2 linked regions of the Coturnix japonica genome follow. The protein of the gene in region 1 binds, or shares a complex with, the protein of each later gene. Links are inferred from orthologs where the notes say so. Each region holds a gene or a part of one and is shown in the gene's direction. Other genes may lie near its edges.

The links. The genes of interacting proteins can lie anywhere in the genome.
Region 2: the proteins of MMP2 (region 1) and TIMP2 are in contact, whole or in part, in a crystal structure (PDB 1GXD), measured with the Homo sapiens proteins. The link is inferred for Coturnix japonica from reciprocal best matches to the Homo sapiens genes MMP2 and TIMP2. Residues at the interface, in NP_004521.1 of Homo sapiens: Trp574, Lys576, Asn577, Lys579, Tyr581, Phe588, Arg590, Lys595, Asp599, Phe602, Lys604, Ile606, Ala607, Asp608, Ala609, Trp610, Asn611, Ala612, Asp615, Tyr636, Leu638, Leu645, Lys646, Ser647, Val648, Lys649, Phe650, Gly651, Ser652; in NP_003246.1 of Homo sapiens: Ile162, Pro163, Cys164, Tyr165, Ile166, Pro169, Leu173, Met175, Val178, Thr179, Phe191, Arg196, Asp198, Ser200, Cys201, Ala202, Trp203, Tyr204, Arg205, Ala208, Lys211, Gln212, Glu213, Phe214, Leu215, Asp216, Glu218.

Annotation. Positions count from the first base shown.
Region 1 is NC_029526.1:2,825,494-2,829,053, reverse strand, and holds part of MMP2 (72 kDa type IV collagenase), read left to right. Parts: intron 1-383; coding exon 384-557; intron 558-3,560.
Region 2 is NC_029533.1:4,617,381-4,621,678, reverse strand, and holds the start of TIMP2 (metalloproteinase inhibitor 2), read left to right. Parts: upstream 1-1,484; 5' UTR 1,485-2,109; coding exon 2,110-2,239; intron 2,240-4,298. UniProt on the Homo sapiens protein: Complexes with metalloproteinases (such as collagenases) and irreversibly inactivates them by binding to their catalytic zinc cofactor. Known to act on MMP-1, MMP-2, MMP-3, MMP-7, MMP-8, MMP-9, MMP-10, MMP-13, MMP-14, MMP-15, MMP-16 and MMP-19.

The DNA of each region.
Region 1 (3,560 bases):
AGGCATGAAGTATGCTGAATCTGATGCTCAACATGAACATGCTGCCTGGAAACTTTCAAAATATACTGAACATTTTACACCACATTACCAAAGAAACTCAATTACTAAACATATTAACAGCATGTATATAAGTTTGCATTGCCAAAGTAACAACACATTTATTTTTCTGGGCTGATTTTAAGGACTGTTCAATTCTAACACTTCACCATGAGTAATATCTATGTAATTCTTTCAAAATTACCAGTTATTACTTCAGCTATGACCACCTTGCCAATAGAGAGACCAATAACATATAGAATTTCAAAGTAGAAATCCACACTACATTTACACCAATATCCTCCAGTCAGTGACTCATTTCAGCATTGCATCTGTTCTCTTTGCAGTGGTTAGAGTAAAGTATGGAAATGCAGATGGTGAATACTGCAAATTTCCCTTCTGGTTCAATGGGAAGGAATACAACAGCTGCACAGATGCAGGACGTAATGATGGATTCCTCTGGTGTTCCACAACCCAAGACTTTGATGCAGATGGCAAATATGGCTTTTGCCCCCATGAGTGTAAGTAAAAAATTGTTTCTAGTGTTTTTCCTCCTCCTAGACTGTTCCCTTACTTGATTAATCTATCCATTCTCCTTGTACTTTTTTTCACTTCCCTTCTGGTAGATTCAGATCTATTGGTCTTTATGTCTAATGTCTCCACTGTAACTAAGCAGAATCCATTGGTGTAGAAGAGTATGTAGTTGATAATGACCCAGGCCAATTCCTTTCTCTAAAAACAAGAACATACTGAAAATACACCTGAAGTAATGCAGGCTCCATTTGTACATCAAAGATACAAAGGATCAGTCTCACAATCCAGGAACAAACTACATGTTAACATAAGGAGAAGGTCAAATTCAGAGAAGGAGTGCAGTAAACGACAGAAATCTCTCCCTAAATTACAGAACATCTCCTTCAAGAGCAGCAACTGCTCAAGTCTGGCAGTTAGGGATGAAGCCCATTAAGGCAAATTTCTAACCTCACATATCAATTTACTTATTTTAGCAACTGGTAGCTCTTTGTATCATGTTGTCATGCTGCCATTACTTTTTCTACAATACACATTGCATGACTATGATATTTATAATGAAATTACCTGACAGCTTGATCCCCAGTAAACACTGGGAATGCAATCGTGTTCTTGAAATTCTTGATTAATCTACTGGATACAAGATTTCAGACAATTCATTCCTGTACAAGTGTTAATTTGATCTCCCCTATATCACACAGCAGGGAAACTTCAGAGAGGCAATTGAGTATAACTAGCTGCAGCCTTCATAAATCAATGCCATAAGAGAAAAGGACAGAGAAAATAAGGAGCTTTTAACCACTCGCTTTGTTCCAGTACTGCAGTTTCCCATGCTCATTTTTGCCCTTCGTACATAACCAATTGCTGTCAACTTTTGGGAGCAGGCAGTGTTTCATCATTCCTGTTACCTGACATCTGAGCAGTGAGCACACATCACCACTATAACTGTTACTGCTGTGACACAGCAAATAATGGCAGCTATGAAAGAGAGCAAAACAGAAAATATTGGAACTTTTGCTGGACGGATGATAATCCAGCTTGGAACAACAGCACTAAGTTTATTTTCAAGACTGTACACTTTCCAATAGAAGATAATATTTCTTTAGAAGCAAGCTAACAGCTGTCAGAGAAAATCTGTTGCAGAATATAAACAGTCCTTTAGCATTCATTAAAAAAAAGTATGCTTTTCTCTCCAAAAACCTAATTGCCCATTCTATACCATATCTAGAGCTGGGATCTACCATGGTGACAACTATTTGTATGGGCATAGCAGATGAAGAAAAAAGAACATGAACGTTTAACACATTTCAGTTAATGAAGAGATATTACAATTAGCTGCATTCCTTTCAGAACTAGCCTCTTCATTTACTTCAGTAAATGGCACGTGCACACATGTACAGAACTGCACAATCAAATCCCTTCCTCAAACTCTGCTTTTTGCTCTTTTACTCTTTCTCTCCCCACCCTCCCTCAAATCTCCCCTCTCATAGGTTAATCCTTCCAGCTGGAAAAGAGCAGAATTGGGTTTATTTTTCTTAAGATAGCTCAGATGCTCAGAGACTGTTTGAATTAGGCCTATATTACAGGAAGCTGGTCAAACAGACATCTGCACACCATGACCAATACCTTTGTAAAATGCAAAAACCATACAAGACAGAAAATGGGAGCAGTGAAGCACTCTCAGTAGGAGTTGGTTCTGCAATTTGGTGTTCCTGGAAATGCTTGTATCAAGGTTTCTGAAACGGAACAGAACGATTTCAACCTTTTGTTTCTGATGTAATTGTTTCGCAAGATCCTTGAGCAGTTCTGCACAGATGTTTCTTATTAAATTCAGAGCAGCATTGTTTACTCATTATTCCGAGACTCCATTTGCTAAACCCTGCTAATAAATTCAGATAGAGGATTTACATCATACAGCTTATGTTGGAGTCAATATTCCTAATTGTTGGTGTTTGTTTCTGTCTTTTAATTCACCAAAGTTAGGTTCAATTCACCTCAGTATGGCACAGTGCTCATTTGGAAACATCTGCCTTAAAGCTGTAGTATTGCACTAGGCCTTTCTAAAGTACATCTCAGATCTGTACCCTCATTTGTAGGCTAAGAGATCATTTTTAAAGGAAAGTAAGGGAAAGCAGAAAGTTGTCTATGTACTGCACTCATGTTATACAACTGTGTAAAACCTCTCCTTTACCTTATGGGATCAAGGGATGTTAAATCACTCTCTCTACCAAAGTCCACTTACACTACAGGGAGTTAAGACTCCAAATCTTGGCCCTCCGACACCTAACATTACTGCTATCTGTCTTACTCCAGAGCTTTGTACACCAATGAAATACACGTATGCTAACCAGATGGTCACATCACAGTTTGTCGGCTTGAGGTTTAAGTCAATGGGGTTCTCCCAGTTATGCCATCTTTAATATCAAGATCTTGATTCAAGGCAGCAGGTTGTATCAGACCAACTTAGAAAACTGGACAATGTCCTGAATAGGAAAAACAGGAAAAAAAAAACAGGTTTCCTCTGCAACTCCTACAGGCCAAATACTTCTTGCACCAGTCACACTGTAGGCTGTCACTGCAGCTTGACTGCTTTCTCAGGCTGCATCCTCATCTCCTGTAGCTGCAGCCACCTCCACCTTGGGCCTGTGCCACATGGTTTTAGCAGCCTTCCAGCCTGAGGTTTCCTAACATCACCAGTGGCTGATTTTTCTGGGAAGAACTAACAGCACATTGCAGCTCACAGATCAGTTATGTCCAGCTTAAATCTACTGCTGCAGCTGTAGAACTTTACAAATTTTAAACTGTTGAATTTACTATGATGCAGAACAAGAGACAGGCCCTTTTAAGATCTTACAATCCACTAACGTCCTTACTAGTTTGTTCTGGGGAAACTAGTCCCTTTACTTTTCATTCACATCCAAGCAAAGACTTTTCTAGTAATTGTTGGGGATGGAGGGAGGGAATCCTTGAAAACTTAAAGCTCTGATGTTGCC
Region 2 (4,298 bases), on another chromosome or scaffold:
TGACATCCAGGGCAGGGTGAGCTGAGACGTCACAGCTGCAGGGGATTTCATCAGGATGTTTCTCACTGTGTTAGCTGGTTTTCCTTCCCCTTTTGCATAAATGGTGCAGCAGATGTGTCGGTAACTGACTGCTTGGTCATCATGTTTAGGGGAAGGCCTCATGGGGAGGGTCCCTTGGGAGATACTATGTGCTTTATGCTCCCAGCCTGGCTCACCAGGGCAGGTGGAGGCCCCACAGCCACCATCCTAAGCAGGGTCATAGGGGACGTGAGAAGACAAACACAGCAGAACCTGCCTGGCTGCTCCCCGCAGTGATGTTGGGTGCAGCCTTCTTGCAAACCACACTGCAGTGCCCTCAGTGCACCAGGCTGAGCAGCCACCTAGGAGCTCCAGGCACTGGGGGCAGCTCAGAGCCTGGCTCTGGATGGCTGGGGCTGGACCAAGGGGTCTATTGGTGTCAGCCCCCCTGTGCCACCCCTGCCTGCCCCAGCACTGGTCAAGGACTGATGGTGCTCAGGGCCCAATGGCCCAGCTCTGGGGGGATCTTGCTGTGGGCTGGGGCCTGCTGTGAGCTCAGTGGGGCTGCTCTCTCCCATCCCCCTGCTCTGCCCCTGGTTTAGTGTCCAGCATCTCTGGAGCTCTGCGGAAGGAGCGCACGCAGCTGGACATGTGTTTCTGCTTAGCCCCAACAACAGTGACTCACTGCAGGGCACTGTGCCCTGAGCACACACGTTTGTCTGCCCTGCAGCACAGCCCTGACCCCGCTGCTTGGCCTCGTTCTGCAGACCCTGGGCTGCCGCTGCTCCCTGCCCACACCAGCTGCTGTTACGCTGCTCTGCCCTCACCTGCACCGTGCTCAGCCCAGCCTGGGGACTGGCTTTACAGCACCTATCCCCTCCTCATCCCACACATCGCAGGCCCTTGTGCTCTCCATCCCAGCCCTGGGGGGCTGCTGGGGTTTCATGGCACAACCAGGGCCAGGTTGCAGCATCCCTGTGCCCCCCCAACCAGCCCCAATGAGCACTTGGAGCAGATACCCACTGCCACAGCCTAGAGCCCATTGGCATCTTTCATGCCACCACCCTGCCGTGTTTGTGTGCTCACCTCCCACACCCTGCAGGCTCGTGCAGGGCCTGGACCGGGCTCAACTGCTCACGTTTCAGTTGGTTCTCACCCTAAAGGGTGAAAGCTCTGACACCTCCACCAGGTGTGAGCAGGGCGGACACTCAGATGTGGCTCAGGAGCGGCTGGCATCACCACAGCACTGCTGTCCACACCAACACAGCCTCAGGGACAGAGCTGGGGCTGCCCTGGCTGGGATGATGGCAAAGCAGAGTTGCAGCTGTGCGACAGGTCCAGCGATACCGGCAGCAGATGGGCAGATTTTGGGGGCACGAGGCAGAGACCCGAGGGCAGCGGGTCATCGCAGGGATGCAGAGCCCAGCGAGAGGCCGAGGGGGAGCGGGGGAAGCCAGACGGGGTGGGCGGGGGGGGTGGGTACGGGCGGCGGGAGGAGATGAGCTGGAGGAGCAGGAAGGAGAGGAAATGCTTGGGCACAGACATAATGCGGCCCTCCCTGCAATTTGCCGCTCCGCTCGGATCGGGCCGGCTGCCAGCGCTGTGAGCCGGGCCGGGGTCCCGTATCGCCGCCCAACGCCCGGAGCAGGATCCCGCCCGGTCACCGGCGCTGCCCCGCTCCGTCCCGCTCCGAGGCCCCGCCCGGGATGAACGGCGGAGGAGCCGCGGCCGTGCCGGGATGCGCGGGCGGGGCCGGGCCGGGCCGGGGGGGCTGAGCTCGGCGCGGAGCCGTATCCAGCGAGGGGCGGGAGCAGAGCCGGGCTGGCCCCGTGCCATGCAGAGGAGGAGCAGCGAATCCCCGGAGCACATTAAAAAGCGAAGCTTAGCGGCAGCCAGGGGAAGAAAACACCTCCATAGAAGGCAGCGGAGAGCGGCGGCTGCAGCAGCGCCCTCGAAGCCGCTCGGGGGGCCGCGGCGGCGGATCCAAACTTTCCAGCGGCGGATCGGGGCGGGGGGGGGTGGGCGGCTCGGCCGGGCCCGGCGGTGGATGAGGCTTTTTGGGGCGCGTCGTTGAGCCGCAGCCGCCGCACGATGCCCGGAGCCGCGCTGCCCAGCCTGCTGGCCTGGCTGGCGGTGCTGCTGCTCGGCAGGGCCCGCCCGACCGACGCGTGCAGCTGCTCGCCCATCCACCCGCAGCAGGCCTTCTGCAACGCAGACGTAGGTGAGCGCTTTGTCCCCGCGGAGCCCCGCCCGGCCCCGCACAGCGCGCAGCGCTCAGCCCCCCGACGTGGGGCAGCGCCGCGTAAACTTCGACGTGGGGGCGGCGGGCGGAAAGTTGGCGCGGGGCGACGGGTCGGAGGGGAGAACGGATGGATGGATGGATGGATGGATGGATGGATGGATGGATGGATGGATGGATGGATGGATGGATGGACGGGGCTGCCGCACCGGGCCCGGCCGAGCACCGCAGCACCTGCACGTGTGCGGGGCCCGGGGGTGTGTCGGTGTGTCGTTGGCCGGTGTGTGTGTGTCCGCCCGGTGTGTGCCCGCCTCTCCCGGCCCATCGCCGTGCCCCAGGGCCGGGAGCGGAGCTCGGTTTCTCCCCCGCGTCCCACGGCGATGGGCCCGGCCGCGGCACGTCGGGTGGGAGCGGGACGGTACGTGGCAGCGCGGGGAGCTGACGGCCCCGGGGGAGCGGAGCGCTCCGGTTCCGCTCACAAAGCGGAGCTTTGCCGTAGGGCAGCGGCCTGGAGCGCTCAGCCAGCAGCCGGCCCAGAGCAGCGCCGGGCTCGGTCACCTCCCGTCTGTTCCTTATTTCCAGGCATTTCCTTTCCCCCGTCCCACTTTGTTCGGCTTGGATGCTGCTGAAAGGGAGGGCTTGGCAGCGCCGGGATCTGGATTCCTCTTTCGATGAATAATGCCCTTATTAAATTTTAGCATATTAAACAAACAGACCGGCCCCAGTTCCTGCCGCCCTCCTTGGCGGGGCCGTTCCCAGGCCCAGCTGGAGAGGTAACATTCCCAAGCACTTATGCAGCCCTCTCCCTGCCTGGTCCCCTGCTCTGGATCCAGGATGTGCTGGCAGACCCTCTTTCCCCCCTTCCCCCAACCCTTTCCACCCTGCTTGTGACGTGAGGGTAAATCCCGTAGTGCCCCATTGCTGCCATCCCCACGCAGCTCAGAGCACTGCGGGATGTACTGGGGACGGGGAGGTGCCCACACAAAATGGAGAGCTGGATTTCCAGAGCTGCTGCTGAGCCCAGAGCAGCGGATCTCCCGCAGACAGAGAGGCTGAGCCTCCATCACGCTCACGTCGGGGTCATCCTTCCGGGCCACTCGTGACTCACGCTGCCGTCCCGGGGTGCCGGCTCACCCTTGACTCAGCTGCTGAGTCACTGCTGTCTCGGCATTCCCGGCTGTCTCAGCAGTCCCAGGAAGAGCCAAGCGGGGGCTGGTTGTGGCTGCCCAGCAGGTGTCAGTTCCTAAGCTGTCTGGTCCCGTCTGTGCCATCCCCGATGCCATCACCCCCACTTCCAGCCTGTGTCTTCCTCTCAGATGACGTGGATGGGATTTGTCCGCTCTGATCCCAGCTGGGGATGGTGCTGGGTGCTGGCTGGCAGCAGGGTTTGATCCTGGCAGGAGCTCACAGCCTCCCATGCAACAGGAGCCCGTCCTGCTGCCTCTGATCCCTGCCCTTTGGCTCCTTTCTTCCCTCTGTGCTAGGAGGCTCAAGGCCAGCTCCTCCCCAGCATGGAGCCAGCTTGGGCCTGGGAGCTGCTGCTGCTGCTTGCTGTGCCAGGGCTGCTCCTCTCCTGCTGCTAGCTGCCTTGGGGCCAGGCTGCTGCTGCCACATGGGTCCTTCCATGCAGCCACATCTGCCTGTGCCATCCCAGGGCTCATCTGCTTTTGCTCACACCTGGCAGCCACTGGTGAGGCACCATTCTGTGATCCAGAGTGGGGCTGGAGCCCAGGGCTGTGCTCACAGGCAGCGCCACAGTAGGGTGAAATATGGCTCTGCCTTGGGCTGAGGGTCATGTCACCGTGGCTGGTGACCTGGGGCTGGTGATCCAGCCTCTGTGCTCATGCTTTCTGGCCTGAGAGATGGGCAGCAGTTTTCTATAGGACTTGAAGGCTCACTGGGTTTATGTGTGTGAGGGGTGGCAGTGTCCCTCTGTGGCTGCTGGGGTTTGTTCTGCCCATGCTGCTCAGCTCCCTAGTAGGGATGTGGCTGGGCTGGGGCTGCAGCAGCAGACCATCTCCTGCTTTGCTTCTTGTCTGCA